Elephas maximus indicus: one gene and its partners. The protein of the gene in region 4 purifies or fractionates together with the protein of the main gene of each other region. This does not show direct contact. Links are inferred from orthologs where the notes say so. Each region holds a gene or a part of one and is shown on either strand. Other genes may lie near its edges. The genes, in order: CDC45, PRPF19, RAD52 and RPA2.

Region 1 (6,891 bases), on a different chromosome or scaffold from region 4:
CTTTCTCCACATCTGACCTGTCATTAGGCCCTGCTAGCATGGACACAGAGAAGCAGCGGTACTGGGTGGAGAAGCGGTTCTGGAAGACCCGGGGAATTGGGTGGTCAAACATATTGAAGGAGAACTGGAAGGAGAAAAGAGATGTCAGTGTCAGAACAGAACAAAGGTACATTTCTTCATGTCAAATGCCAAAACACATCAGGGTAATTAATGCTGCTAAATGTCAAAGAACAAAAAACATACTAAAATCTTGATTAACCCTTGTTGGTTGTGTTGAGTTGACTCTGACTCATGGTGACCCCATGTGTATCAGAGTGGATCTGTGCTCCGTAGGATTTTCAAATGTTGATAGTTCAGAAGTGCCAGGCCTTTCTTCCAAGGAAGGTACCTCTGGGTAGACTTAAACTGCCAACCTTTCAGTTAGCAGCTGAGCACTTTACTGTTGGCACCACCGAAGGACTCCTCATTAACCCTAATACTGGGGAAGCGGTGCATTCTGACAGAAGCACTTCCCAGGTAGAAGGTTTGTCGCAAATCTCTGTGGTTCGACCTTGTCTGCCACCCTCAGTCTTGTCCCTCTTGTCTCCACCATTCTTAGAAAGTATGGTCTTACTAAAATACAAAACTGGCCATGTCAGTTCTTTCCTTAACCTCTTTCACCCTGCAGCCCTCCTAAGTATACAGGCAGGCCTCTCAGTGGCTCACAGAGATCTGCTTTCTGGTAAACCACAATCTCCTAGACCTGCCATACTCCTACCCAGGCTACTTCCTCTGTCTGGAGGACTTTCCAATTTTCATTAACTTAACACTTACTAACTTAAAGGCACATATTTACTGTGTGACTCTACTATCTGCCAGGCTCTGTTCTAAGCATCAAGGAAACATCAGTGAACAAAACAGATAAAATCTCTGCCTTGGTGGAGCTGAATCCAAAACAGGGGACAGAAGCAAAAATAAACATGTATGTCATGTGGTAATAAATACCCTGAAGACAAAAAAGCAGGGTAAGGAGATCAAGGACACCTGGGGATGCTATTTTATATAGGTGGTTAGGAAAGGACCCTGCATAGAGACCTCAATGCCATGAGAGGAAGCCAAGTAGAAAACTAGGAAAGGCACTGCAGGCAGCAGGTGCCCAGTGCATCTTTTCACCTGGCTCCCCATAACCACCCTTTCCTTTCTCCAGGAAGCGTTCCCTACTCTACCAAGAATTAGTGCTAGTGCCCTTCAAATGTGCTCTCACTGCACAGAGTAGGTACACATACTGTGCTACTTCCTCACGTTTAAATAACTAAAGCCAAGGCAGGGTACCATTAAAAAAGGAAGATCCAAGCTCATAAAGACTGTGGACTAAGATGTGGCTTAGAAAACACACTACACATCCACTTGGGGTCTTCTCAAAGTACCGAAACTACTGTGACATTTCAAAAAGAATAAAATCTCACAATAGACAAACACTTCTTGACTTGATTTCAAATGTACATTAAGCAGAGGGGAAAACCACCTAATGATAATTAATTACAAAATAGTTTACTAAAAAAAAAAGTTGCCATCAAGTTGATTCTGACTCAGAGCAACCCTACAGGACAGAGTAGAGCTGCCCCACAGGGTTTCCAAGGAGCGGCTACTGGATCCAAAGTGCCAACCTCCTTTTCATTAGCAGCCAGCCAATCTCCTAACCACTGTTCCACCAGGGCTCTAGTTTACTAGCAATTCCAAAATCAGCAAGCTGAAGCAGCTGTATTCCTATAGGCAAAACAGTACCCTCTTGCTTAAAATCTCACATGGTTCTTCACACTCTAGAACTCTCACACAGTAGTTTTCAAACTTTTGTCTCTTTCTTCTCTCAAACAACACAACTCTACTCAACAAAATCTTAGCCAAAGGCATAACAAGTAAAACAGAGTGTCTGGATGAAGAAAGGGAGAAAAGTGGGGCCTCCTCTGACTACCTCACACTACACCACTCCATCTAAGCTGTACTCTTTGCAATATAAAAGAGGGAAACGTGCACAGAGTTTGCAACACCCTTAATAATGTGCCTTCAATACACCCATGAACCTGATCTTCTGTCCCTCCCTATTTCTTACTTTGTAACTTCAATGCTTTGCATACTGCCTGGTACATATCAAGTATTCTATAAGTCTGTTAAGTGGATGAACTTGGGAACAGAAATACGATTCAACAATGACACACTTTTACTAAAATAAGCAGGTGATACTGAGGCAATGCTGTACAACGGTTGTAATGAGGCTGAACATTGCAGCCAGCCCGACTGGGCTTCAAATCTCCACTGCTAACTTTTGTGACCTCCAGTAAGCGATCTTCCTCATCTTTAAACCTTAGTTTTCTCATGGTTGGAAACCCTGGTGGCGTAGTGGTTAAGTGCTACGGCTGCTAACCAAAGGGTCCGCAGTTCGTAATCCACCAGGCGCTCCTTGGAAACTCTATGGGGCAGTTCTACTCTCTGTCCCATAGGGTCGCTATGAGTCCGCACTGGGTTTGGTTTCCTCATGGTTAAAATGGTAATAATCCTTGTCTCCAAGGGGGTTGTCAGGACTAAACGGGATAAAGTGTGATTAGGAACGATAAGTACAAAAGAAAAGGTGTGTAACAAAAAAAAGCAGACATTAGCTACTATTGTTATCATTACTAAACATAACGCCGCTCTACGTAAGAAGGTACCAACACAACCGAGGCATGAACCCGGAGGCACAAAGTTCCCGAACTAGGGCAAGAGCAGGGAGTCCCGCCCAGGGAGATGCCCCTTATGTATTTTCCGTGGGGAGCCCTTGATTCTGCTTCCCACTTCCAAAAACCTTTCAACCAATTTAGTGTTTATGAACACCTGTTACGTGCCTAACACTTGGGCACCAATGGGTGGACACAAACGTAGAAGGTTTAAGGAGCCCACCGTCTAAGAGGAAAATGCGAGCCATGCCCTGGACAAGCGGTGATAAGCAGACGCCGTTTTGGGCAAGGCGCGACTAGTGCCCGATGCGCCCAGGACCAGAGGCGGCCGGGTCCAGGCCGGGTGACTCGGCATCTCCGCTGTCATCTCGCCCGGTCCCGCCCGCCCGCCCGTCTGCTCCCCCCCCGGGCTAGGCCTGGTCGCCCTCACCATAACTGACACCTCCGCCTCGCAGGCGCCGCTTCTTCCAGGGAATGTAACGTGGTGAGACCGCCGACCACGCTCCCTCTCACAGCCTACACCGCCGCTGCGGCCACCACCTCCACAGCCGATCCGACGCCCCGTAGGCTCACCGGAAGTGACGGACCTGGAACCTGGGCAGGGGAGTGCTGAGACCAGGGGTCGGCTGCAAAAGGGAAAAAGCCAGACAAAGAGTCTGGAGTCTAGAATTTCCCAGGAATAAATTCTATAGTATCCTTTCTTAGCAGGATTCCCACTCTAGAGATAATTTTTCTTATTATTTTAAATTACGTCTTGATAGTACTCCCCTCCAGACGAACTTAGTAGGACCCATTCCTTTTCTTGACTACACTACCCAGAATGCAATTAGATCTTCCGGCCTTTGCGTCAGCCATCGAAATCTCGGGCGGAAGTGAACTACACATGCCCCCTTTAAAGTGGAGCGAGAGCCTATTGAAAATGTAAAGCTGACGATCTCATTCTACGTATAACTAAATTTAACTTATGGAGGGAAGGTTTTTTGTCCTGGAGTTCCCAGTGAGAGATAACGGTATTTTCTTCCCGAAGTAATAATGTCCACCGAGACGCGGGTTTCTGGGTCAACGGAAGTCACAGTTGAAAGAGGCAACAGTGTTTGCGTCCTGCCGAGTTTTGACGGCTTTTTCCACCGGAAAGGCGGTGCTCTAGTGCCCGCCCTCAATATGCCCCAATCAGAAAGGAGGAAGGGCTGAGACCGAGCAGCTATTGATTGGCAGCCCCTGGGCCAATCGGAAAAGCCCTGCTTTGGCGGGAGTCTTGATCGCCGCTGGGGCTCACTGTATCCCAGATCTTATGCTAGGCGTCCGGCCACCGTGGACATGTTCCTGTCCGATTTCCGCAAGGAGTTCTACGAGCTGGTCCAGAGTCAGGTGAGCCCCAGTCTGGACCCCTGGCCTACGTCTTGTCGGGAACAGTGGGTGAGCAGGAGTGGCCGCTACTCGGGTCTCCAAACTCAGCCTGCCTTTTCTTCCCCTGACAGAGGGTCCTTCTCTTTGTGGCCTCGGACGTGGACGCTCTGTGCGCCTGCAAGATCCTTCAGGTGAGTGCCGCGGACCCTCGGACGGAGGGGCCACGGCAAGAGGTGAGCGGAATAGAGAGGACCTCCCCCAACCCCCAGATGAGGACAGAGGCTGAGGTAGGGGCTTGAGCAGTCACAACTGAAGACTGAGGTCACTGCCCTGACTGGATGGTGAGGGGTGGGTTAGAGGAGGATTAGGCAAAAGGCAGGATGACTAGTTAATATTTTTTGCAGTAACCCAGGCAAATATGGTTGCATTTGGGTGAAACGTAAGATTTAGACTTCTGGTGGCCTATGAAATGTGGGAGTTTGAGGGAGACAAATCTGTGACAGCTGAGGGCATGGTGGGGTCATAAGTGATGCTGGAAATACAGGACCTCTGGTCGATTGAAAAATATCATTAGTTCAGTCTTGTTTTGAACATAGTGGGACATTTACATTGAGCTTTGGTCAGGTTCTTAGGTCAGGATCTTATCAGAAGACCTGGAAGTAAGATTGGATTTTCCTCCAATGTATTACTTTGAAAATTTTCAAACATTCATTAGAGTTGACACAGTGAACACTCGTATCCTTACCACCAAGTTTCTCCCGTTAACATTTTACTAACCTTGCTTTGGAGTCTCTGGTTGGTGCAAACCACTGAACGTACAGATTGTAACCAAAAGGTTGGCAGTTCAAGTTCACCCAGAAGAGTTTCGGAAAAAAGGCCCTGGTGACCTATTTCCAAAAATCTAGCCACCGAAAACCCTATGGTGCACAGTTCTACTCTGATGCATGTGGGGTTGCCATGAGTCGGAAGCTACTTGATGGCAACTGGTTTTAACCTTGCTTAATCATCTGTCTTCCATCTCTCCACCAGCTATCTTTTTTTTTTTTTTTTCTCTTGGTACATTTTCAAAGTAAATTGCAGACATTCTAAATAGCAGGGTTTCAAAACACCTTTTCCTCAGGCCTTGTTCCAGTGTGACCATGTGCAGTACACCCTGGTTCCAGTTTCTGGGTGGCAAGAACTTGAAACTGCATTTCTTGAGCATAAAGAGCAGGTATGTAAGATGCGTTTTGGAATAATTAGCCTTCATTACTCCATAGTAATTTCTTAACCCTTAGCATTCTTTCTAATTCCATAATAGATTGAGTGTATATGTAAGTGTAAACTTTATTAAGCAAAGTGGAAGAGAAAAACATAATATGTATACTAGTAACTTACCCTTAAGTTGTGGAGGCAAAATTGACCCCCCCCCCCAAAAAAGAAAAGGACGGTAAATATGGACAGCAGAAATTTTATTGTTAGGAACATGGAATTTAATAGTGTTTAATTTGGCCTAACTAAAACTATTTTACGATATACTGCTATCTTATATTATCTGTCCAAATAAATGTATCCCAGGTTCCAATTTGAAATCCAGGAACATATCTTCCTCCTCAGAGTCCTGGTGGTGCAGTGGTTAAGAACTCGGCTGGTAACCAAAAGGTTGGCAGTTCAAACCCATACTGCTCCTTCGGAAACTCTATGGGGCAGTTCTACTCTGTCCTATAGGGCGGCTGTGAGTCAGAATCAACTTGATGGCAACAGGTATCTTCATTCTCCATAATTTAAACAGTAGAGGCCAGGACTGCTTCTACCTCTGCATGGGGCCACAAGGAGAGATGTGACATCTTGGGCCACACAGGGAAGGGCTGGGGTGTGGAAGAAGGACCATGGTGTCCCTGGCCACAGGTGAGACTGCTCTGGCAGAGATAAATCCTAGCCTGGAGTTCCTGTCATCATGTGAGGGAACTTTGCCAGTGTGATACTCGTAAGAAAATGATTTCTATAATGATAGGGTGTCATACCAAAAAAACCAAACCAAACCCACTGCTGTGAAGTTGATTCCTACTCACAGCAACTCCATAGGGTTTATATCTTAGGCTGGGTTCTCTAGAGAAGCAAAACCAGTAAAGCATGTAAATACGTAGAGATTTATATCAAGGAAATGGCCCACGTGGTTGTAGAAGCTAGAACATTCCAAGTCTTTGGGTCACACTGGAGGCTTCTCCTGATTCACGTAGCCACAGGGCCTGACAAACCCAAGGTAGGTTAGGTCAGAGAGCAGGGCTCTTGCTCACGGGCTGAGAAGACCAGTGAATCCCAAGATTGACAGGCGAGACAGCAGGTAAGCTGCTAGCCCAGGTCCCAAGAACCAGAGGTCAGACAAACAGGGGCCAGCCACAGGATCCAGAGCAAGCAAAAATCAGCAAGACTTGCCAGAAAATCCACCTATATTGGATGCAGGCCACACCCCAAGGCAACTCCCTTTCAACTGATTGGCTACTCACAGCAGATCCCATCATGGAGGTGATCCCATTATATCAGATCTCACATGGAAGTGATCACGTCATCATAAGATTGCCAAACTACATCATAACTGCCAAACCATTGAGAATGATGACCCAGCCAAGTTGACGCACAACCTTAACAATCATAGTTTCCAAGGCTGTAAATCTTTATGGAAGCAGACTGCCACATATTTCTCCCACAGACCTTTTGGTTAGCAGTCAGGTGCTTTCACCACTGTACCACTAGGGTGTAATAGAAGACTTAAATTTAGGTGCCCAAGATTATTAAAAATTTAAACCTCTCCCTGGCGAGGCAGGAGCCCTGGTGGCCCAACCATTAAGTGCTCGGCTGCTAACCGAAAGGTCAG
Region 2 (7,687 bases), on a different chromosome or scaffold from region 4:
CAAAAGGAACAATAACCGCTGCTATTTATCATTGCCCTCATTGTGTCAGGCCCTGTGCCAGATGGTCCCTCAAGATGCATTCACTCAGATTTACAGAACACCTACTATGTATCAGGTGCTGCCCTCAGTGCTGGGGATACACTGATGAATAAAACAAGACCCTGATGTCATGAGGTTTATACTCTATAATTGTATCGTAACCCTCCCAAAATCCTGAAAGATAAAATACTAAAATCTCCACCATACAGTCACGAAAACCAGGACTCAGAGTGTGGGCAACTTGCTGGAGGTCACATGGCTAGTAAGCAATGAAGCTAAGTTTGAAACTCAGACCTGTGTGACTTTTACACCCAGGTGCCTCCTCCCATATCATTCTGCCCCTCGAAAAAGATGACGATGCTCCAGCCTTCCCACTCCCTAGTCCCAGTCCAGGGATCCATCTCTTCAAGTGGGGAAGACATTGGTTCCCTCTGGGGAACTCACCCACTCATCCTGCAGAGCTTTCAGAATGGCCGGGATGCTGGTGGCTGAGGGAGGCTTGGGCCGGATTGGGTGAGCAACTGCCGAGAGGGAAAGTGGTATGAAGAACCCTAACCCAGCAGCCTCTTACCGTTCCCCACCTCTTTCCCCCTCAGCCTGAATTAACAGACCACCATCGCCTCTTCCAATGCAAAGGCACCACCTCCCACCCTCTCAGCCTCTGAACTGAGGCAGCTCTGGCCTGAGGCTGACCAGTGGGCACCTTTGATGTCGATCAGCTGCTCCTCAGACAGAGGCTGGTTGTTGATGGGGTCTGTGCCGTTCTCCGCAATGTACTTCTCAATGAGCCTCCGCTCATAGACATGATTGGAGACAGGGGACACACACGGGTGCTCTGGCACTTCATTGGAGACTGCAGGGAAAAGGCAGGCAGTGAGCGTGGGGTCAAAGGGAAGCCTGGACCAAAGAAACCCCTCACCCGCTACTGGCCCCAATAAGGCCACATGTCCTCACACTGAACCAAAAGGAAACAAGACCTGTGTCCCCAAGCCAGTTTTGTACTGTCCCCAGAATGCTTTCCAGTGACATAAGGAGCTTCTCCATCAGCAGTCTCCTGATAGTCAGGTTTTCGACAAATATTCACCGCAGAGCTACAACATGCCAGGCACCCTAGGGAGTAGTCAATAATCCCTGCCCATCTCATTTTTAAACAAAACTGGTGGTTGTTGTCGTGGCGGTGTGCCATCAAGTTGATTCCGATTCATAGTAACCCTACAGGACAGAGAAGAACTGCCCCATAGGGCAGTTTCCAAGACTGTAATTTTTATGGAAGCAGACTGCCACAGAACAGCTGGTGGGATTGAACAGCCAATCTTTCAATTAGTAGTTGAGCGCTTAACCACTGTGCCACCAAGGCTCCTTACAAAAATAGCTAGGCATCCATTATACTCCAGGAGATGGAGACATGTATGAAGCCACTCAAATCCCTGCTGTCCATCTCAGTCTAGAGCCCTAGGTAGGTTATCGAAGAAGATACAAAGCAACGAGACAAGTACTATAATAATAAAAAACATTTATGTGGGGTTTGCTAGGTGCCATGCATGATTCTGAACATTTTACATAATCTCATCATCATTTACACACCTGCCCTGAGTAGACGGTGTGCCCTAGAGAAGAGGGATTACAGCTGGTCTCTGACTCCCAGTAGGTGCACATCCCAAAGACGAAGGAATGAATGCATGGGAGGAAGGACGGTGCTGGAGCACACAGAACAGAGCTCTTTCAAGGGTCAAAGAAAACACTGGATGTGAAAATACTTTGCAATTTCTTCAATGTAATTATAATTCCCTCCGTGTAAGGTATTCCTTTTCCTGCCCATTTCCCTTTTTACTACCCTTCTTTGGATTTAAGGGAGAGGTTCAGGAAAGAGAGGATGGCTTAAAGGTAGGAAGCAAAGAGAGAAAGGGGTGGGAAACTGGTAACCTGATGAAAAGATGAGAAAAGAAAATGGGAGCATGACACAATAAAACACCAAAAGGAAAGGCAGTATAAGGCATGGAAAAGCATGGATTTGGGGTCGGGGAACCTGACTGTCACCCCGCACTGCCACTTACTAGCTGTGGAACCTTAGCTAACACTCATCCTGGGCTTCCCTTCCTCACCTGTAAAGCTAGGGTCTTTATTTCTGCTTCGGGAAATTCTTGTGAGGATAAAATGAGATCACAGACTTGGAAGCACTGCTGGAAACCATGAAGGGCCTCATAAATAAGCACTGTTTTTATTCGTGCTACAGTGTGAGAGAGACCTGGCTTCCAGCCCTGTCTCTGCCTCTAACTCACTGTGTGACCTTCGCAAACTCCAGAAGCTCCGACTGCCCAAGCGCGACCTCAGACAGCATCCAGTGCAAAGTCCTCATTTTGAAGATGGGGAAACTAAGGCCCAGAGAGGGGTCGATCACAAAGCTAATCGGAGGCGAATTCTGAACGAGCCCTCGGCTCCCCTGGCTCCTACGCTAGAGAGGCTTCCCCTGCACCAACTCCCTCTGTCCAAGCCTCTGTAAAACCAAATGGTTGGCCCCAAGGAGCCCTGAGACGACAAATCTGAGGCGCTGTGTAAACTGCGAAGCTCTGCGCAAATGGACCCCGCGCGGAGGACGGAAGGTTCCCGGTGCTGACAGGCCGCCGCTCTATCGCCCGGGAGCCCCGTTCCCGCCTCCTCCAGAAGCCGGTGTCTCAGCAGCTGGCGCATTCTCCCGCTCCGCTCTCCAGCCTCCTGCAACCCACGATCGGCCGCAGGCGCTACTCACTTGAGCAGATCAGAGACATGGCGCCGTCACTGCGCTCCGAGGCGCCTCACACCGGGCTCCGTGACTGGCTTCGGAGCCGCCGCGGGCCACTTCCGGTTCCCCGCTGCTTCCGGACGCTCCGCAGCGAGCGGGGAGCACCCCGCCGAGCTCTGGTAGCGTAGTGCTTCACGTGGGTCTGGGGCAGGTGGCGCGCCGCAGCCTTCAGCAACTAACGGAAACTGCCCCTTCCCAGAATGCAACCGGGCAGGAAAGGGCCCGCCACAGAACACTCGGCTATTTCCGGATTAACTCGTCTCCTTCCGTAAAGTGCCCCAGGGAAAAGGCGGCGTAAAACTACATTTCCCATGATGCAGTGGGACCGTTACATCCAATGTGTTCCTGCACTCCTTTTGAGACGCGGTAGTGTCTGTGTTTTCCGAATTTTAATGTGCACAAGAATCTCTTAACGAGCTTATTAAAATGCAGATTTCTAGGGTCTGTCCTAGAGAGTCTGCATTTTAATTTAGCGCCCAATAAAATTGAGGCTGGTGTTTCTCGGGCCGCCCTTTGAGAAAATACATGCTGGGGGAATCCGATGAAAATGCAGATGAGTAGGGGAACTAACAATGATCAAAAAACGGTTTTAGTACTACTTCTGTTACCAATTTGCTCTGTGACCTTAGGCAAGTCACTAGTTTCTCTGCCGGTTTTCTACATGACTTCTAGGTTGCTTCCAGCTCAGGTAGTGTAAGATTCTTCGTTGACCTCTGTAAGATAAGATATACTCAGGAAAGATGTAGAGAACGTGCGCCGACTCGTGTGGGCTACGAGGGAAGACAGCAGGACGGGTAGATGTGGTCACTGAAGTCTTCCCTGAAAAGGCGTGAATGAGCTGGGCTTTGACAAACGGGCAATATTCAGAGAAAGGAGAAAGAAGTGAAGGGTATTCTAGAAGGAACAGCATGAGCAAAGACGGAGAGAAGAACAAAAGTTGCAGATATAGGGCAGTAGGGTATAGCGGCCAAATGCATGGACTCTGAAGCCAGACTGCTGAAATCCCAACTCCATCCAGCTAGTATGCTGTGTGAACTTCTCTAAGTTGTTTCCTCATTTGTAAAATCGGGGAAGTGAAAACAAGGGTAGAACTAAGTTATAGAGTTTTTTTGTGATGAGTTAACAAACAGCACTTTGAACTAACCCTGGAACATAGTAAGTACAGTATACATATTCATGTTTGTCATTATCTCAAAAGCCAGCAAGATTGCCCAAGCTCCCCTGAACTGATAAAATAGCTTCCTAGTAGCATCTGGGATCTTAAAAGCTTACCAGCTGCCATCTAAACCCATTGCTAATCTAAGATACAATTATTAGTCTCTTCCTGTCTGGAACAAAAGAGAGTGAAGAAAACCAAAGGCTCAAGGAAGCAATTAGTCCAAAGGACTAACGGACAACATGAACCACAACTTACACGACCCTGAGACCAGGAGAACTGGATGGTGCCCAGCTACCACTACCAACCACTCTGACTGGGATCACAACAGAGAGAGGGTCCTGGACAGAGCCGGAGAAAAATGTAGAACAAAAAATCAAAATTCACAGAAAAGACCAGACTTACTGGTCTGACAAGAGACTGGAGGCACCCTTCTGACCTGAAACTGAAGCCATCCCTGGAGATCACCTTCCAGCCAAGCAATAGACAAGCCCATAAAATAAACAATAGTATCTGAGAGGAATGTGCTCCATAGAACAATCCATTATATGAGATCAAAGGGCAATATTTGCCCTAAAGCAGAGATGAGAAGGCAGAAAGGGATAGAAAATCAGGATGAAAGGTATCGGGGAAACCAGGGTGGAAATGGGGAGAGTGCTGACACGTTGTGGGAAATAAAACTAAGGCCATAAAACACTTTATGTACGAACCAGCAGATGGGAATCTAATTTACTCTGTAAACTTTCACCCTAATGCACAATTAAAAAAAAAAAAAAAACTTCCTGATTGACCTTGTTTCCAGACTGGCCTCCCTCTAATCCACTTTCCACAAAGCAGCCAGTGATCTACTTTCAGTGAAAAATCTATTTATGCTACTCCTCAGGCATTTAATTCGTTCAACATATATTGATTGGGGTGTGTCAAGCTCTGTTCTGATCATTGCAGATACAAATGAATGAACAAAATGACAAGGTTCCTGCTCTTATGGCTGTTTAATTTTATGGAGAGCATGCAGAAAATCAACACCTAAGAAGATAATTCCAGAGAGTGGTTGTTGTTCTTGGTTGCCATCGAGTTGATTCCGTCTCATGGCGACCCCATGTGTTACAGAGTAGAGCTGCTCCATAGGGGTTTTTTTGTTTGTTTGTTTTGCTGTAATCTTAACAGAAACAGATCACCAGGTCTATCTTCTGCAGCACCACTGGGTGGGTTTGAACTGCCAATCTTTAGGTTAGCAGTGGAGTGCGAACCATTTGCACCACCTGGGGACCTGGAGAGTGGTAAGCACCATGAATAAAACAAATCAGAATAAGGTGAATAGTAGCTGCTGGGCATCGGAGGGAGGACTTCTTTATGCAGGATATTTAGGGAGGGTGTCTCTAAGGGGGTGACATTTTTACTGAGACCCGAATGAGGGAAAGCAGTCAGTCCCAAGACCAGGAATGAGTGACTCTGGCAGAAGAAACTTGCTCCCAAGCCCTGTGCCATCTGGCCCAGGCTGACCTCCACAGTCTCTCCAGCCACACTGGTCTTTTAAATCCTCAAATTTACCCACCCTTGCTTAGAACACTTTCCTCAAATCCTTCCCTTCTTCCCCTCCCCCCAATGCCCTCCAATGTAAACTTCAGTCCCACCTTAGATGTCACTTCCTCAGGAGGCCTTTTCTTTAATATCAGGCCAAGGTTTAGCCCCCATAAACCAGTTGCCAGTGAGTCAATTGTGACTCATGGAGACCCCATGTGTATCAGAGTAGAACTGTTTTCCATAAGGTTATCAATAGCTATGATCTTTTGGAAGTAGATTGCCAGGCCTTTCTTCTGAGGTGCCTCTGGATGGATTTGAACCACCAACCTTTCTGTTAGTAGCTGAGTGCTTAATTGTTTGCACCACCCGGGGCTCCTTTAGTCCCCATAAACCCAACCCAACCCATTGCTGTCAAGTCGATTCCAACTCATAGCGACCCTATACGACAGAGTAGAACTGCCCCATAGAGTTTCCAAGGAGTGCCTAGTGGACTCAAACTGACAACCTTTTGGTTAGTAGCTGTAGCACTTAACCACTATCCCACCGGGGTTTCCTTATCAGCCTCTAATTCTCCTCTGAGCCACTTGAGATAACTATAATCATTTAACTATTTATAATTATCTGTCTGATGTCTGGATTCTCCATAGCCTGTAAGATCTGTGATGACAGGAACCAGGGTGTCCTGTTCTCTGTTGTTCCCTGAGTCTAACAGTGCCTGGCACATAGTAGGCTTGGCACATAGCAGGGGCTTCATAAATACTATCGGTTGAATGACAGGCTGCCTGGCGGGCCAGGCGTCTCAAGTACTTAGATTTGGTAGGAAATAAAGTGGGTTAGTAAGTGGTTAGACTTGTGGGCTTGGCAGCAGAACAACATCTGATTGCATTTGAGCTACCAAGTGACCTAAAGATAACCACATTTCCAGAAGTTTCCTCTGAAAGGCACTTACTAGATGGGTTGGAAGGGGACAAACTGGAGAGGAAAACACATTCATTCCTTTAACGGACAAATCTTTATTGAGCACCCACTGTGTGCCAGGCAAGAGACATCCCTACACTGGGGAGCTTATGGCTGTGACATCAGAACACAGGAAAAAAGGAGTCCCTTCAAAGCTTTCAGAGCCCTGGTGGTACAGTGGTTAAAGTGCTCTGCTGCTAACCAAAAGGTTGGCAGTTTGAACCCACCAGCTGCTCCACGGGAGAAAGATGTGGCAGTCTGCTTCCATAAAGATTACAGCCTTGGAAACCCTATGGAGCAGTTTCACCCTGTCCTATAAGGTCAGAATGAGTCAGAATCTATTCAACGGCAACGGGTTTTGACTATACTATATGGCAATGGGAACGGGGTTATATGCCAAAGGGCTTTTTCAAGGCTTTTGGGTTTCAAAAGCCAGCCCCATGGGAAATAGAAGGAATTCAGGGAATAGACAATTGACTTAAATATCATGGGTAAGTGCTTGATCTCCACACCACCACCACCCACTTTGTCCTCCCCACAAAGGAGACAGGTATTCCCTAGTCTGAAAACGGAGCTTTAGAGGGAAAGAGAGAGACTCATAGCTGTTGGTAGGTCCCTAAGAAAGGAATCCTGATCCCTGTTCTTCAGGCCAAGGCTGTTGCTGCTCCTTGGAAAAGGTAAGTTCACATTGGCCAATAACCCAGAAGAAGGCTGGGCTCCATTTCCCAGGTAGACTCAGTGGCAACCTGTGTAGACAAATGAGAGGACGATGGAAGCCTCAGGAATTGACAACTGGATGCACACCTAGGGTCATATGAGCCTCCCCCTCCCCTTTGGCCATATGCTAATCTTCCAAAACGTGTGCACAGCATGAAAATCGGGGATGGGAAAAGTTCTAAACTGTCTGAGATTATTTCCACTCTACCCCAATGGAAAAGAGAGTTGAAAAGAAATTAATTTTTCCTAGGAAGAAAGAAGTTACATTTCTTGCACAGGAAAATCTGTGACCTGAGATTTAGGTAGTCCTACAAAGCAGCTGAAAGAACCGAAGAAAAAAGTCAAGCCTCGAGTTGCAATATTGAAGGATTCTATGGGGAAAATATTGAATGAAGCAGGAAGCATCAAAAGAAGATGGAAAGAATACACAGTCACTGTACCAAAAAAAACTGATTGATGTTCAACCATTTCAGGAGGTAGCATATGATCAAGAACTAATGTTATTAAAGGAAGAA
Region 3 (8,003 bases), on a different chromosome or scaffold from region 4:
CACTATAGGTCTGAGCAGAACTGCCCCATAGGGTTTCCAAGCAGTGGTGGTGGATTCAAACTGCTGACTTTTTGGTCAGCAGCCAATCTCTTAACCACTACGCCATCAGGGCTCCATGTGTCTGCCATATGACCCAGCAATTCTTCTCACAGGTATTTTCCCAAGATAATAGTGGCTGTGAGCAAGAAGTGGATGAATTCGAGAAATATTAAGAAGGTAAAACAAACAAAACTGGCAAAGTGTTTCTATTCTTATCTATTTCCTTATCACCTAAAAGCATTTCTAAACATGTGTGGAGAAGGAGAGGAGTAAGACAGAAAAGAAGCATATATGTAAGGAAATTTTCTTCTTTTGTCTTATAATCTCTCATTTTTATCAAAGCCAGGACAGGACATGATCACAAGGGTTAATGTAAGCTACCCTAAAAAGCTTGAACTTTATTTTGTAAGCCATGGAAGACCAATGGAAATTTTTAGGCTAAGAATGATAAGATTATATTTATGCCTCAGAAAGTTTAGTCAACAGTGAATAATTGAGGGAGAGCTCGATTAGGAGCTCTCTATTAGTCTATATTACAACAGTCCAGACAGGAATAAGGGCTCAGCTAAGACAATGGAAGTGCAGATGACAGAAAGAGATGGACCCTGGATATGTACTACAGGGGGCAGAACAGACAAGACTCCGTGATTAGTGTGATTCTAGTTGTGAGAATCAAGAACAGCCTGATATGAGCAGGATTGTATATCAAGTATCTTTCTTTAATTTTCATTTATGTACATGCTGCTATAATGTTTGTGATAGTTAAAATGTTTAGCAACAGAGTTGAATACTTTTAAAAAGAAGGAAATAAATCTTAAAATGTCATCTCCTTTTTGAAGCCTTATGTACCTCACTATATTCTAGCCGACTCAATGGCAACTAACAACATACACCCTAAGTAGCATTAACCCTGTTCTCCCACAGTGTTTTAGACATACTCAAAAGCATATATCACACTACAATCATTTACTTCTCTACTACACTCAGCCATTTGAGAAGGGAGCACATACATTAATCAATGAATCCTCAGCACTTAGCACAGTCCCCAGCCAGTATATAGTATGAAAAGCATTTTAGCCTCTCTCCACTTCAAAATTGCCAGTAAGCTATTAAAAATGAATGTCTTGACTGGAGAAACCCCAAGTGTATGCCCCCCGGATACCCTTTTAGCTCAGCAATGAAGTCACTCTTGATGTTCACCCTTCAGCCATAAAACAAACAAGACTAAAGGGGCACAACAGCCCAGGGGCAAGGACTAGAAGGCAGGAGGGGACAGGAAAGCTGGTAATAGGGAGCCCAAGGTCAAGAAGGGAGAATGTTGATATGTCATGGGGTTGTTAACCAATGTCATAAAACGGTATGTGTACTGTTTAATGAGAAGCTAATTTGTTCTGTAAACCTTCAACTAATGTACAATTTAAAAAAAAAAGAATGTCTTGAGTAGGAAATGTTAAAAGACTGAAAAATATCCACACTAGGCTTTCTGCCCTTCAATAATTAATTACCTTTTTTTAGGTAAAACCTGTCTCCCATACGGAACTCATTTACACTTTGTATGCACTAAACAGAAGAAAGATGTGGCAGTCTGCTTCCATAAAGTTTACAGCCTTGGAAACCCTATGGGGCAGTTCTACTCTGTCCTATAGGGTCGCTATGAGTTGGAATCAACTGGACAGGAACTGGTTTGGTTTTTAATCTCCACCTACACCCGGTTTATGTCACAAGATGACAGGCAGCTGTGATCTCTGAGAACTGCACACAAACATTCCTCTGCTTGTCACCACTACGAAACATAGTCTGATAGGTGCTGAACTGAAATAGAAGACTTTTAAATGGCACACTTGCCTAAAAGATACCAGATTTGAAGGCAGTGAAATGTGACTCAATTACATTTTCTGAAAATTTAGTTTTCAAAAGTTCACGCTTTAGACTGCAAGTTCTGTGAAGAAACATCTTAAAAAGTCTAGCAAGCCAAAAAATGGAAACAACCCAAACGTCCATTAACCGATGGAGAATCATAAAAAAAGGATAAAGTTCTGACATATGCTACGTATGACATGAATGAACCTTCTCATTATGCTAAGTGAAAGAAGCCAGGCACAAAAGGCCACATATTCTATGATTCCATTTATGCGAAATGTCCAGAGGAGGCAAATCCGTAGAGACAGACATCAGATTTGCGGTTATAAGGGGCTGACGGTATGTGTGAGTGACTTTCTTTTTGGGATGATGAAAATGTTCTACAATTAGATGGTAATGATGGTAGCGCACCTTTTAAAGACACTAAAAAACACTAAATTGCACACTTAAAAAGGATGGCTATAATGGTATATGAGTTGTATCTCAATTCTTTAAAAAATAAAACTTCTAGGATGGCTGAACACGCGGCTAAGCTGGGCGTCAAATTCCTTTTAAATTCCTAATTCCTTCCCAACCTCAGCCGCAACCACACCCAGTTACTGATAAACTTCTGCACCCTTCACTTCTGTCAACAAGCAGCATTTAGAGTGTCTTGCTCGGTGCAGGGAACAGCCACAATTAACAATACGCGACTCGACGGCACTGGGTTTTTTTTATCCCTCCTAACGAAACTCTCAGTTTTTTATTTTAACCAAACTCTCAGTAAGCCCTGATCCTTTACTGCATTAATTATTTAGTCCAGGCCTCTGGATCCATGGTCACTATCCTGGGATCTTCAAGACGACCAACCGCCACCCTACGTTCTCCCCTCCGAATGTGAGCACTCCCATGCTCCACACAACCCCCAGACGGAACCACCCCAACATGGCCGGTTCTCCCTCCCGACTTACGCGCCTCGGCCAGCGCGTGGTGCACGCAGGGAGCTCGGTGCAGGCTAAATGCAAGAGAATGGAGCTTAGATAGAGGTCGCGCAAAGGAGACTGGGAAGGAAGTGCAAGGAAACCCTGGGAAGAAGGTCCAAACCGAGAGCTGGCCCTTACGCAAAAAACAAAAACAAACGGGGGCGGGGGGGCGGGGGGGAGAACAGTACAGCAGGAGCCGTAAACCAAGTCGGAAGAGGGAAGAGCCGCAAAGTAAACTGTCGGATGCTGTAAAGTAAGCCGGAAGCGCCAGGAGCTCTACGTCCCGCCCCCACCGCCTCCCACGCTCCTGAGCTCAGGTCTCCGTCTCCGGCTGTCTGGATCTCCGCTGCCCCCTGGAGGGGCCCTGCGAGTTCACCTAAAGGATTCAGCTTAGTCTGAGGTGCTTTGGGCCTGCTTTTCCTGCGCCTTCCTACACTACCTCACGTACCCAATCAGATACAGGGGCAGGGCGGGGCGGGAGAGGGACCTCCCAGTACTTATCTGTGCACATTTGGGATCTTTCGGGAAGGGAGAATAATGCTTTTAAGTCTTACTAATTATGGTTATCAGAGACCCTCACAGCGCCCACCCCAGGCTGACACAGCGAACGGTGGCAATGTGGACATGCTTTTTCACTAAGCCTTCCTTTTCTGAAACTGCCGTGCACATCCAGTCATCACCCGGTAGCTTCTGCTTAAGTTAGTAAGAACGGGAGGAAAATAAACTTGTGACTTGGAGGAGAGGTGACTTTCTTTAGTATATCTCTTGGAACTTGGTGATGATAACACATTCTATTAGCAATGCTGAAAAACTGACCGAAAACTTCAGTCATTACAACCCGAAATTAATTACTAAAAAACTCCAACAAAATCATTCTTTTATGTTTTCAAATTGGTCATTACAGTAAGCCCCTGTTAACCAGACTGTTCAGTATCTGGTTCCCTGGATGGCACAAAGGGTTAAGCACTGGTTGGTAGTTGAACCCAGCCAGAGGCACCTGGGAAGACAGGCCTGGCGATCTGCTTCTGAAAGATCACAGCGTTGAAAACTATGGAGCACAAGTCTACTCGGACACACATGGGGTCACCATGAGTCAGAACTGACAACTGATAGCAAAATCTCAGAGCAAGTCATACTCTGTGTGACCGCTCTACCCAGTTAGACCACTGGAAGCTGAGTAAAAAGCCTAGAAACAGTTCCAGTGCATATGCATACTCTATTATTTGATAAAGGTGACATTTCAAATCAGTGAAGAAAGAATGTTTTGTTTTTTAATGGATCTGGGACAATTAGTTAACTGGGGGTAAAAAAAAAAAAAACGGGGGGTAGGGGAGTTAAATTCCTTTTCAAAATATAAAAAAATAAATTCCAGTTGAATTCAAGGGTGAAGTGTTAAATACACACACACAAGCAAAAAACAAAGTGAAAAAATATATAGATGAATATCTGGCCTCAGAATGAGGAAGGGTTTTCTAAGTATTAAAGTTGAGAATTAAGTCATAAAGGAAACAATAGTTAAATGGAACTGCCTATGTTTAAAAAAAAAAAATTTTTTTTAACATCTGTAAGTAAAAACTGAGGACAATAGTGGTTCAGTGGTAGAAATCTTGCCTTCCTTGCAGGAGATCTAGGTTTCATCCTTAGCAATGCATCTCAGGCAGGTACCACTCACCTGTCAGTAGAGGCTTTCATGTTACTGAGATGCTGAACAGGTATCAGCAGAGCTTCTAGGCTAAGACAGCCTAGGAAGAAAGTCCTGACCATCTGCTTCTGAAAAATTGTTGTTGTCGTTGTTACGTGCCGTCGAGTCGGTTCCGACTCGTAGCAACCCTATGCACAACAGAACGAAACACTGCCCGGTCCTGAGCCATCCTTACAATCGTTGCTATGCTTGAGCTCATTGTTGCAGCCACTGTGTCAATCCACCTCCTTGAGGATCTTCCTCTTTTCTGCTGACCCTGTACTCTGCCAAGCATGATGTCCTTGTCTGGGGACTTATCCCTCCTGACAACATGTCCAAAGTATGTAAGACGCAGTCTCGCCATCCTTGCCTCTAAGGGGCATTCTGATTGTACTTCTAAGACAGATTTGTTCGTTCTTTTGGCAGTCCATGGTATATTCAATATTCTTCGCCAACACCACAATTCAAAGGCGTCAATTCTTCTTCCATCTTCCTTATTCATTGTCCAGCTTTCACATGCATATGACGTGATTGAAAATACCATGGCTTGGGGCAAGCGCACCTTAGTCTTCAAGGTGACATCTTTGCTTTTCAACACTTTAAAGAGGTCCTTTGTAGCAGATTTACCCAATGCAATGCGTCTTTTGATTTCTTGACTGCCACTTCCATGGCTGTTGATTGTGGATCCAAGTAAAATGAAATCTTTGACAACTTCAGTCTTTTCTCCGTTTATCGCGATGTTACTCATTGGTCCAGTTGTGAGGATTTTTATTTTCCTTATGTTGAGGTGCAATCCAAGCTGAAGGCTGTGGTCTTTGATCTTCAGTAGTAAGTGCTTCAAACCCTCTTCACTTTTCAGCAAGCAAGGTTGTGTCATCTGCATAACGCAAGTTGTTAATGAGTCTTCCTCCAATCCCAATGCCCCGTTCTTCTTCATATACTCCATCTTCTCATATTATTTGCTCAGCATACAGATTAAATAGGTATGGTGAAAGAATACAACCCTGACGCACACCTTTGCTGACTTTCAACCAATCAGTATCCCCTTGTTCTGAACGAACAACCGCCTCTTGATCTATGTAAAGGTTCCTCAAGAGCACAATTAAGTGTTCTGGAATTCCCATTCTTCGCAGTGTTATCCATAGTTTATTATGATCCACACAGTCGAATGCCTTTGCATAGTCAATAAAACACAGGTAAACATCCTTCTGGTATTCTCTGCTTTCAGCCAGGATCCATCTGACATCAGCAATGATATCCCTGGTTCCACGTCCTCTTCCGAAAGCGGCCTGAATTTCTGGCAGTTCCCTGTCGATATACTGCTGCAGCCGTTTTTGAATGATCTTCAGTAAAATTTTGCTTGCTTGTGATATTAATGATATTGTTCTATAATTTCCCCATTCGGTTGGATCACCTTTCTTGGGAATAGGCATAAATATGGATCTCTTCCAGTCAGTTGGCCAGGAAGCCATCTTCCATATTTCTTGGCATAGATGAGTGAGCATCTCCAGTGCTACATCTGTTTGTTGAAACATCTCAATGGATATTCCATCAATTCCTGGAGCCTTGTTTTTTGCCAATACCTTCAGAGCAGCTTGGACTTCTTCCTTCAGTACCATCGGTTCCTGATGATATGCCACCTCTTGAAATGGTTGAACATCGACTAATTCTTTTTGGTATGATGACTCTGTGTATTCCTTCCATCTTCTTTTGATGCTTCCTGCGTCATTGAATATTTTCCCCATAGAATCCTTCACTATTGCAGCTCGGGGCTTGAATTTTATCTTCAGTTCTTTCAGCTTGAGAAATGCCGAGCGTGTTCTTCCCTTTTTGGTTTTCCATCTCCAGCCCTTTGCACATATCATTATAATACTTTGTCTTCTCGAGACGCCCTTTGAAATCTTCAGTTCTTTTACTTCATCAATTCTTCCTTTTGCTTTAGCTGCTCGACATTCGAGAGCAAATTTCAGAGTCTCCTCTGACATCCATCTTGGTCTTTTCTTTCTTTCCTGTCTTTTCAATGACCTCTTGCTTTCTTCGTGGATGATGTCCTTGATGTCATTCCACAATTCATCTGGTCTTCGGTCACTAGTGTCCAATGCGTCAAATCTGTTCTTCAGATGGTCTCTAAATTCAGGTGGGATATACTCAAGGTCATATTTTGGCTCTAGTGGACTTACTCTGATTTTCTTCAGTTTCAGCTTGAACTTGCATATGAGCAATTGATGGTCTGCTCCAATGTCGGCCCCTGGCCTTGTTCTGACTGATGATATTGAGCTTTTCCATCGTCTCTTTCCACAGATGTAGTCAATTTGATTTCTGTGCGTTCCGTCTGGCGAGGTCCATGTGTATAGTCGCCATTTATGTTGGTGAAAGAAGGTATTTGCAATGAAGAAGTCGTTGGTCTTGCAAAATTCTATCATTTGACCTCCAGTGTTGTTTCTATCACCTAGACCATACTTTCCAACTGCTGATCCTTCTTCTTTGTTTCCAACTTTTGCATTCCAATCGCCAGTAATTATCAATGCATCTTGATTACATGTTTGATCAATTTCAGACTGGAGCAACTGATAAAAATCTATTCATCTTTGGCTCTAGTGGTTGGTGCGTAAATTTGAATAATAGCCGTATTAACTGGTCTTCCTTGTAGGCATATGGATATTATCCTATCACTGACAGCATTGTACTTCAGGATACATCTTGAAACGTTCTTTTTGATGATGAATGCAACACCATTCCTCTTCAAGTTGTCATTCCCAGCATAGTAGACTGTATGATTGTCTGATTCAAAATGGCCAATAGCAGTCCATTTCAGCTCATTAATGCCTAGGATATTGATGTTTATGCATTCCATTTCATTTTTGATGATTTCCAACTTTCCTAGATTCATACTTCGTACATTCCAGGTTCCGATTATTAATGGATGTTTGCAGCTGTTTCTTCTCATTTTGAGTCATGCCACATCAGCAAATGAAGGTCCCGAAAGCTTTACTCCATCCACGTCATTAAGGCCGACTCTACTTTGAGGAGGCAGGTCTTCCCCACTCATCTTTTGAGTGCCTTCCTACCTGGGGGGCTCATCTTCCAGCACTATATCAGACAAAGTTCCGCTGCTATTCATAAGGTTTTCACTGGCTAATGCTTTTCAGAAGTAGACTGCCGGGTCCTTCTTCCTAGTCTGTCTTAGTCTGGAAGCTCAGCTGAAACCTGTCCTCCATGGGTGACCCTGCTGGTATCTGAATACCGGTGGCCTAGCTTCCAGCATCACAGCAACACTCAAGCCCCCACAGTACGACAAACTGACAGACACGTGGGGGTCTGAAAAATAAGCCAATGAAAACCGTAAGGATCACGGTCTGATCCTGTTGTGGGTGGGGTTGCCAAGAGTCGGGAGGCTAACTTAACAAAGAAGTAAAAAGTAAAAGTTTAAAAATAAATAAGGAAAAGGGGAAATATCGTGA
Region 4 (6,852 bases):
GCAGTTTAAAATTTTAAGGATATTTAGTTGAGTCTGTAAACAATGTTCACATACTCAAAAGGTTGGTTTCAGGTTTTATTGGCTAAAAGAATTCAATAAATTGAACATTAAACAAATAGTTGTGGATGTTCTTCTGTACATATAAGAGCCTCTCCATCAGTAATAGAGAATTCTATCAGTATTAGCCAATTCATAATGACCATTACTGGTAGAAATAATCAGGACCATATAAAACAGAAAATGACAAAAACTCCACCCAGTAACATTTGTCTTAGCCCCCCCCCACCCAAAAAAAGAAAGGAAAAAATCACATCTTATGTATAATGTTGGAAACTGCAAAAAGTCACCCTGAATCAAATTGTACTTGATAGATAATGCGCACCCATAAAACTACAGTACCAGATGTGTAAAATTGGGCATGGATCAAATTTAAACGATGAATTAAACCCTCATTGTAAAATTCGCCCAGCAAAGAATTGATCCACATACAAATAATTGTAAAAAAAGAAAAGTGGAAAAAAAATTAGAAATCACTAAATTGAACTGTATAGAAAACTGAACAGAGAATTAAGTCTCAATGAAAAATCCATCAATGTCAGAACAATTCTGATGAAAATATTTGTATTCATAAAGCGGAGGCAAAATGACCTCGGGGATTATAACTGTAGATCAAAAACATTCAGAGAGAATGCATATTGAGCACCTAGCACAGATATAATGGATGTACCTGGCACGTGGTATGTACTCAATAAACACCAGATTGTTTTAAAAGATAATTTCTCTTCTACTTACTCTTGCTGCAATTTCCCTAGCAGTCCCAAGTCTGGGAATAATGAACTATGCCCCTACCTGGAAGAGGGTAATTAAAGAAATCCCTTCTATGTGACAGGAAGACTCCCAATTAAAACCAAACCTTGAGAGATGAAATTACTACACACACACCAAAAAAAGGGAAACACTATTTTAATGCTGATTCAGACCTGAACCCTCTATTCAACTTACCTGCTCATGGAGGTGTTGAAAAGATGTGAAATCATATTTTGATGGTTATTATGCTCTAAGTTAAGACATTCTGGCTTCACTTTGGATTTTATTTTTAAGCGTATACTCTCCTCAGCTGAATTTATAACTAGTTGAACCCGAAATGAGGTAGATTAACCTAACATCTTAAATTTCCCAGAATAGTCTTAATTCATAACATTTTATCCTAATATTCCCATAAATATGCTTTTACTTGTCATACTATGTATGTTCTAATCACTTTAGGATTAATATAATAATGTCATCTCGTTTCTGCCTCAGACTTCTGTCTTTGGCTATATCTTGTTTAATTCTCAGTGATGGTTTGGAAGCTTACAGAATTTATATAAGAAAGAGATGACACACAAGCAACATCTGGCTCCCAAGTATCTTTTGTTTGGCCCACACGGTCTTGAGACAGAATTAGGCTGAAGCAGACTGGTTGGGCCCCCAGCACATAGACTGGGAAAAGGTCGAACAGGACAGACAGTAGAATAAACAACCTGACCTACTGGCACTGGTGCAACCATAACCCACCGCCTGGAGATTAGAACGGAACGCACAGGCCCTGTGGGGCAGAATGTTTCAGCTGCGGGGTGACACGAACTGAAATGTTCTAGGATGTTGCAAATAAATTGTTGATGTAGAGCTTGCAGGTCTCCACAGGTGCAGAGCACATGCAAAAGAAGTTAAGAGTGACCACTGTTTGGCCTTCCCGAGCCCGCAGAAGCGGGCGATGTGACAAAGAAAACCAGTGCGCCTGTATCACATCCCATAATGAGTCATGTCAAGGGGAACCAAAGGACTTCCATCTTGAAGAAGTGCCACATGTGCACCTGCATTTACCTAACCCAACCCTTCCTCAGAAATCTCCGCCCTTTCCCCCGAAAACCTCATGAATAAACATCAATACCCCTCCTTGTCTAAACCCTTAAATAGTTGGCTCTTAGGCAAATCGGGGAGACAGTCTCTCCGAAGGTTCTAGCCCATACTGTTTCCTTTTGCTAGCTGCCGGCAAAATTAATTTGCTTGTGTGACTCCAGGCTGCTTCAAATAGTCTTATTGGGCGTCACGGATCTGGTTGGGTTCAACTGAGATAGGGGCCCTGGGTAACAGTCTTTTTTAAATGATTAATTTGCAAAAGCTTACGGTTCAAAAATTTTCACATAAAAATCCAGATATCTGGCTTCTACTAAAAAGCTGGCAACACTGGGCTCATACTCTTTATATATCAGTAACGATTTATCATTATGCTTAGGTGGTTATTCGTCTTACTCTGGTGAAAAAAAGTGAAAATTTAGTTCCTCTGTTATCCAGTCCATTACATTTACGGTTTTACTGACTGTCCCCAGTGGTCATTTAAGCGTGTGACCCAGTTCTGAGATGTTCTAGGAGGTATAGTAATTGCACTGGTTGATGGAATCAGACTTGCTGGCTTTGGATGCAGACTCAGTTTTCTCTTCTGTAAAATGGGGGTGTCCTAGGGTAAAATTACCAGAAAGTGATAGTAAAGCAAAAAGAAAGGTTTTATTCAGCATATTTTTGAAGGCACAAAAGTGGAAAATGGGCATGCATGCTGCCAGAGCCATGTCTGCCCAAGTCCAAGGAATATTACAGAATCATCAGTATATATTAACATTATGAATGGATAAAATCGCTGAAAGCTTCATCTTTTCACATACTGGCTAAAAACTGCTAAATTATCATGATTCTACGTTTTAAATTGTTTTTCTTAATAATCATTGGTAGGGGTTTCAGTGATGACAGTCAGAAGAGTCTTCATTGGTCCAACAACTCCTACTATTTACTAAACCCTAATAAAAAGACATAAGAGTGGAACATGTGTGGGTCTTTAGTGCTGCGTGTATGTGAGAGTTTCCCTAAAAGACGTTTTCCAAGATTGTCCTAGCTATTGTTTTTATACCTCAGGGCCCAGTTGATGTGTCCTTAGGAGTCCAGCTCCAGCTAGGTTGAATTCTTTATGCTCAAGGACAGGAAATAACGGCTTCAATTTTATCTCCTAAATGAGGAGACAATAACACTACCTACCTTATAAAAAAAAGAAAAACCTTATAGGGTTGAGTTAATAAACGTAAAATGCTTAAGACAGTGCCTGCAATTTTATAAATGCCCAGGGACCATGTCTAGTATATTTACTGTTAAATCCCAGTGTCCAGCACAGAGCCTGGAACAGGAGGCATCAAATATTTTCAAGTAAATAAATGGAAAAAAAAAATCTAATAATCTAGTAGTGCTTAGAGCAAACCAGACATTGTCCACTGTCTATAGGAAGGGCACAATCATATTATTTGAAGAATACTGGAATATAAAATGGCTGTCTTTTGAGATGGATGTCGGGCCTGGATTTACACTGAGTTGGGGAAAGGGCATCATGGGGAAGAGGATGTAAGTGTCTTATGGCCTCGCTAGGAAGAATCACAAAAACAGAGTCGCTAAACAGGGACAGAACTTGGCTCCTTCTGGAGAAGAACAAACAATCCCACGAGGTGCTACAAGGCTACTACTGTGAGTCCCTGGGGTGTGCAAATACGCGGGTTATGAGCGCAGAAGCAAGAATTTCACCACAGCGCTTTAGGTTAGGGCGTCAAAATGGTGACAGTTTGGCGGGAACAGGAAGGCGCCCAGCAAAGGAAGTGACGTAAATGTCACTCATTTGGCAGGGGTGCGGTTATGCGGCCTAGAATTTAGAACTATTATTTTGATTGGTTGTTTTCTTGGGCCCTCTTCCGGCTTTCCGCTTCCGTCTGCTAGGCCGGTCTCGCAGCTTCCGGCCCCTCAGGGAGCAGAGAGCGAGTTTTCAGACACAGGGCCAGAGAAGACAGGAAGAAGCGTAGGATTCGCGAGCTTTGATTGGCTGAAGGTAGAAGCGTCCTGGACGCTGATTGGCTCCGTCGTTCGCGGGAAGGAGTTTGTGGCGCCAGCGAAAAGTAGATACGCTGCTGCGACAACTGTAGGGCCCTGAGGTGCCCCGCCGACTCACTAGATTGGATCCTGACGGAGTCACTACCAAAATGTGGAATAGTAAATATGGGTGGGGCGGAGGAGACTGAGAATCGCGAGGAGGATTTAGCGGGACGGAGAGCCTGGGGACGGAGAGACATGGGGAGGGGGAAGGGGCAGGAACCGGAGAGGCGGGCGGGGGAGTTCGCGGGGCGGGGAAAGGTGCTGAGGAACATTCGGGAGACGGTGGGAGTGTTTGAGAGGGGTGAGGTTTGTAAGGACTTGTGGAATTTTCAGAGGCCTGGAAAGCGGCGCAGATACTGATAGTGTTGTTTGAAACAGGTGGATTTGAAAACTATGGCAGCTCCGCCTATGGTGGCGCCGGCGGCTACACACAGTCCCCGGGGGGCTTTGGGTCGCCCACACCTACTCAAGCTGAAAAGAAATCAGTAGGTTCAAAGGGTGTTTCGTTTTATTCTATCCTGTTCTAAAGCTCGTAACTCGTCTATGAGAGAAAATTTATGCGGCATATGAAGGGTATTAAATATGAACTGGTTCGGTAATTACCGGTTATTGCTCATGTTTTCTGTAATTAGGTGCTGTAAGTTTTAAAAATGAAATCTTCCCTAATTTTGCATCCATTGTTTCCTTGGCTTTGTTTTGAAATTTATCGAAATAGCCATGAATCCGTGGGAAAACTCTGAACTTGTGTTTAATGCATATTTTGCACTCTTCATGTATTCACGTAGCCAGGAGGTGAAACACGGAATAGGGGTGGGGGGAAGAACATGGGTTTTGAAGTCAAATAGACCTGTGTTTTCTTGCTCTGACACTTTACTTGGGAGTCAGTTTTGGACTTATTAAATGGGGTTGATAATATATGCCTCACAAGGTTGGGACTTGATATGTTATATTACATAGGAGCCCTGTTGGTGCAGTGGTTAAGAGCTAGGGCTGCTAGCCAAAGGGCAATTCGAATCCACCAGCCGCTCTTTGGAAACCCTATGGAGTAGTTCTCTTTCCTGTAGGGTCGATATGAGTCAAAATCAACTATGGCAACGGGTTTCGGTATTTTTTGTTTATATTTTTATATGTACTATTTCATATAATCCTTTTTGTTTACTCCATCGTACGGCAGAGGCTCAGGGAGGTGAAGGAACTACCCAAGGTTACAAAGCTAGTAAATAGCTAAAACCAGGACAGTGCACACATGATGCTGTGCAAATCCAAATCTGGTGGGCAGCCTTTTCTCTAATTGTAATTTTCTTTTTCCCAGGAAGACCAGAGGAGATTCCAGTCTTCTAGCTTTGTCTTCCTTGGGGTTGTGAAGGAGAAAACAGGTGGATAGATACTGGTTCTCGTCCTTTTATTTATCTCAGAATCCCTAGCTCAGACTGTGTATTAAGATAGCTTAGTCACAAGTTGGGGACTCAAACCCAGAGGTCATGTTTTTGAATCTAGTGCTTTTTCTACAGTAAATTAGATAAATGTGCCTGTCTGAAATATCCCCTGTTGAGTATGAACCTGTTATATTTGGTTGAACCAAACTAAGAGCCAGTATGGCAAAAACGTGGATTCAGAGCCAAACAGTCCTGCAGACCTATGTTCAAATCCTAGCTGCTAAGCCCTGGACACGTTACCACCTCTTCTGTAAAATATCTATTCTTCAAGTTGTTGAAATATATAATGTATATCAGTTGCTGTCAAGTATTTTTTCATAGTTGACAATGAACCACAGGCAACTCTGACAGTACGATATGAAACCACCATTTTTATAAGGTCTGCAGGACCGTCTGGCTCTGAATCCATGTTTTTGCCACCGTTACCATACTGGCTCTTAGTTTTCTTAATACTGAAGACGTGATGAGAATCTCAGCTGTGATAGGTGAAAACAGAAAATATAGTACATTATTTGTGAGAGAAAAATCCTGGGGCCTGTGTAGATTCTACGTTTGTGAATACTGATGTATCATAACTTCACCTGTGGATACAATAAAGTAAAATGGGAAAACATACTAGATTCCTTCACATCCTTTTGAAGGTTATTGCAGGTATGAGCAGTGAGGAGCAATAGTTAATAAAACTGCTAATGCTGAGTGCTTATGATGTTCCAGGCAATATTCTAAGTATATTACCATATTATTGCATTTAATTTTCCTGACTTTATCATTCCCAGTTGAACAGCTGAGGAAACTAATGTGCATATGAGTTAAGAAACATGTCCAAGAGCACACTACTCTTGAGTGGTTGTTGTTGACTGCATTCGGGTTGTAACCTTAACCCCCAAGCTTAGTCTCCTTCCTTCGTGACATAGCGGTTAGCTAGGCTTACTTCATACCAATTCCGGGTACTCATCGTTCAAAATTATGCTTCAGCAAAGTGAAACATTGCCAGCAGCATGAATCTTTAAGTCAAAGCTGGGACTGCTAAATCCATGAAGTCTATTATGTTCTGTCTTACAGTTATTAAGTTACTTTTTATTGATTTTGGAAAGGAAGGATTCTAATGTTTAATCTTCCGTGGCTTTTCTGCCTCATACATAGTCCCTCTGTGAGCCCTTAGACTAGAATGCCCGTCCTTTACCCACTGTTTTTCCACTATCAAAATTCTCATGCATCAAAGTCCAGCTCAAATGCTGGAGAGACTTTTTGAAATTCCCTAGGCAGAATTAGTGAGTTTTTCTGAGATGGCATAGCATGTGTAATTCTGTAGTATATCAAGATCAGGTTTGTTGTTTACATTTGTATCTTCCCTAAATTAGGAGTTACTCAAGGGCAAATTCTACCCCATCTTTATATTATTCGGTTTACCTTGGTAGGCAGAAATAAGAGTTTACAGTATTGCCAGGCTGTGGTAGGGTGTGATTTGAGT

Evidence for each region.
Region 1: the proteins of RPA2 (region 4) and CDC45 purify together in Homo sapiens (affinity purification with western blotting; 3 studies listed by BioGRID and IntAct, with this or other methods). This does not show direct contact. The link is inferred for Elephas maximus indicus from reciprocal best matches to the Homo sapiens genes RPA2 and CDC45.
Region 2: the proteins of RPA2 (region 4) and PRPF19 purify together in Homo sapiens (affinity purification with western blotting; 4 studies listed by BioGRID, with this or other methods). This does not show direct contact. The link is inferred for Elephas maximus indicus from reciprocal best matches to the Homo sapiens genes RPA2 and PRPF19.
Region 3: the proteins of RPA2 (region 4) and RAD52 purify together in Homo sapiens (affinity purification with western blotting; 3 studies listed by BioGRID and IntAct, with this or other methods). This does not show direct contact. The link is inferred for Elephas maximus indicus from reciprocal best matches to the Homo sapiens genes RPA2 and RAD52.

What each region holds. Positions count from the first base shown.
Region 1 is NC_064840.1:32,705,297-32,712,187, forward strand, and holds the start of CDC45 (cell division control protein 45 homolog), read left to right. Parts: upstream 1-3,876; 5' UTR 3,877-4,007; coding exon 4,008-4,058; intron 4,059-4,168; coding exon 4,169-4,228; intron 4,229-5,157; coding exon 5,158-5,250; intron 5,251-6,891. Other genes in the region: UFD1 (ubiquitin recognition factor in ER-associated degradation protein 1), read right to left, coding at 1-124, 3,121-3,123. UniProt on the Homo sapiens protein: Required for initiation of chromosomal DNA replication. Core component of CDC45-MCM-GINS (CMG) helicase, the molecular machine that unwinds template DNA during replication, and around which the replisome is built.
Region 2 is NC_064825.1:124,020,326-124,028,012, forward strand, and holds the start of PRPF19 (pre-mRNA-processing factor 19), read right to left. Parts: upstream 3,020-7,687; 5' UTR 2,805-3,019; coding exon 2,786-2,804; intron 893-2,785; coding exon 743-892; intron 561-742; coding exon 484-560; intron 1-483. UniProt on the Homo sapiens protein: Ubiquitin-protein ligase which is a core component of several complexes mainly involved pre-mRNA splicing and DNA repair. Required for pre-mRNA splicing as component of the spliceosome.
Region 3 is NC_064822.1:57,802,802-57,810,804, reverse strand, and holds the start of RAD52 (DNA repair protein RAD52 homolog), read right to left. Parts: upstream 3,022-8,003; 5' UTR 2,850-3,021; intron 1-2,849. UniProt on the Homo sapiens protein: Involved in double-stranded break repair. Plays a central role in genetic recombination and DNA repair by promoting the annealing of complementary single-stranded DNA and by stimulation of the RAD51 recombinase.
Region 4 is NC_064821.1:68,320,082-68,326,933, reverse strand, and holds the start of RPA2 (replication protein A 32 kDa subunit), read left to right. Parts: upstream 1-3,837; 5' UTR 3,838-4,052; coding exon 4,053-4,062; intron 4,063-4,323; coding exon 4,324-4,430; intron 4,431-6,852. UniProt on the Homo sapiens protein: As part of the heterotrimeric replication protein A complex (RPA/RP-A), binds and stabilizes single-stranded DNA intermediates that form during DNA replication or upon DNA stress.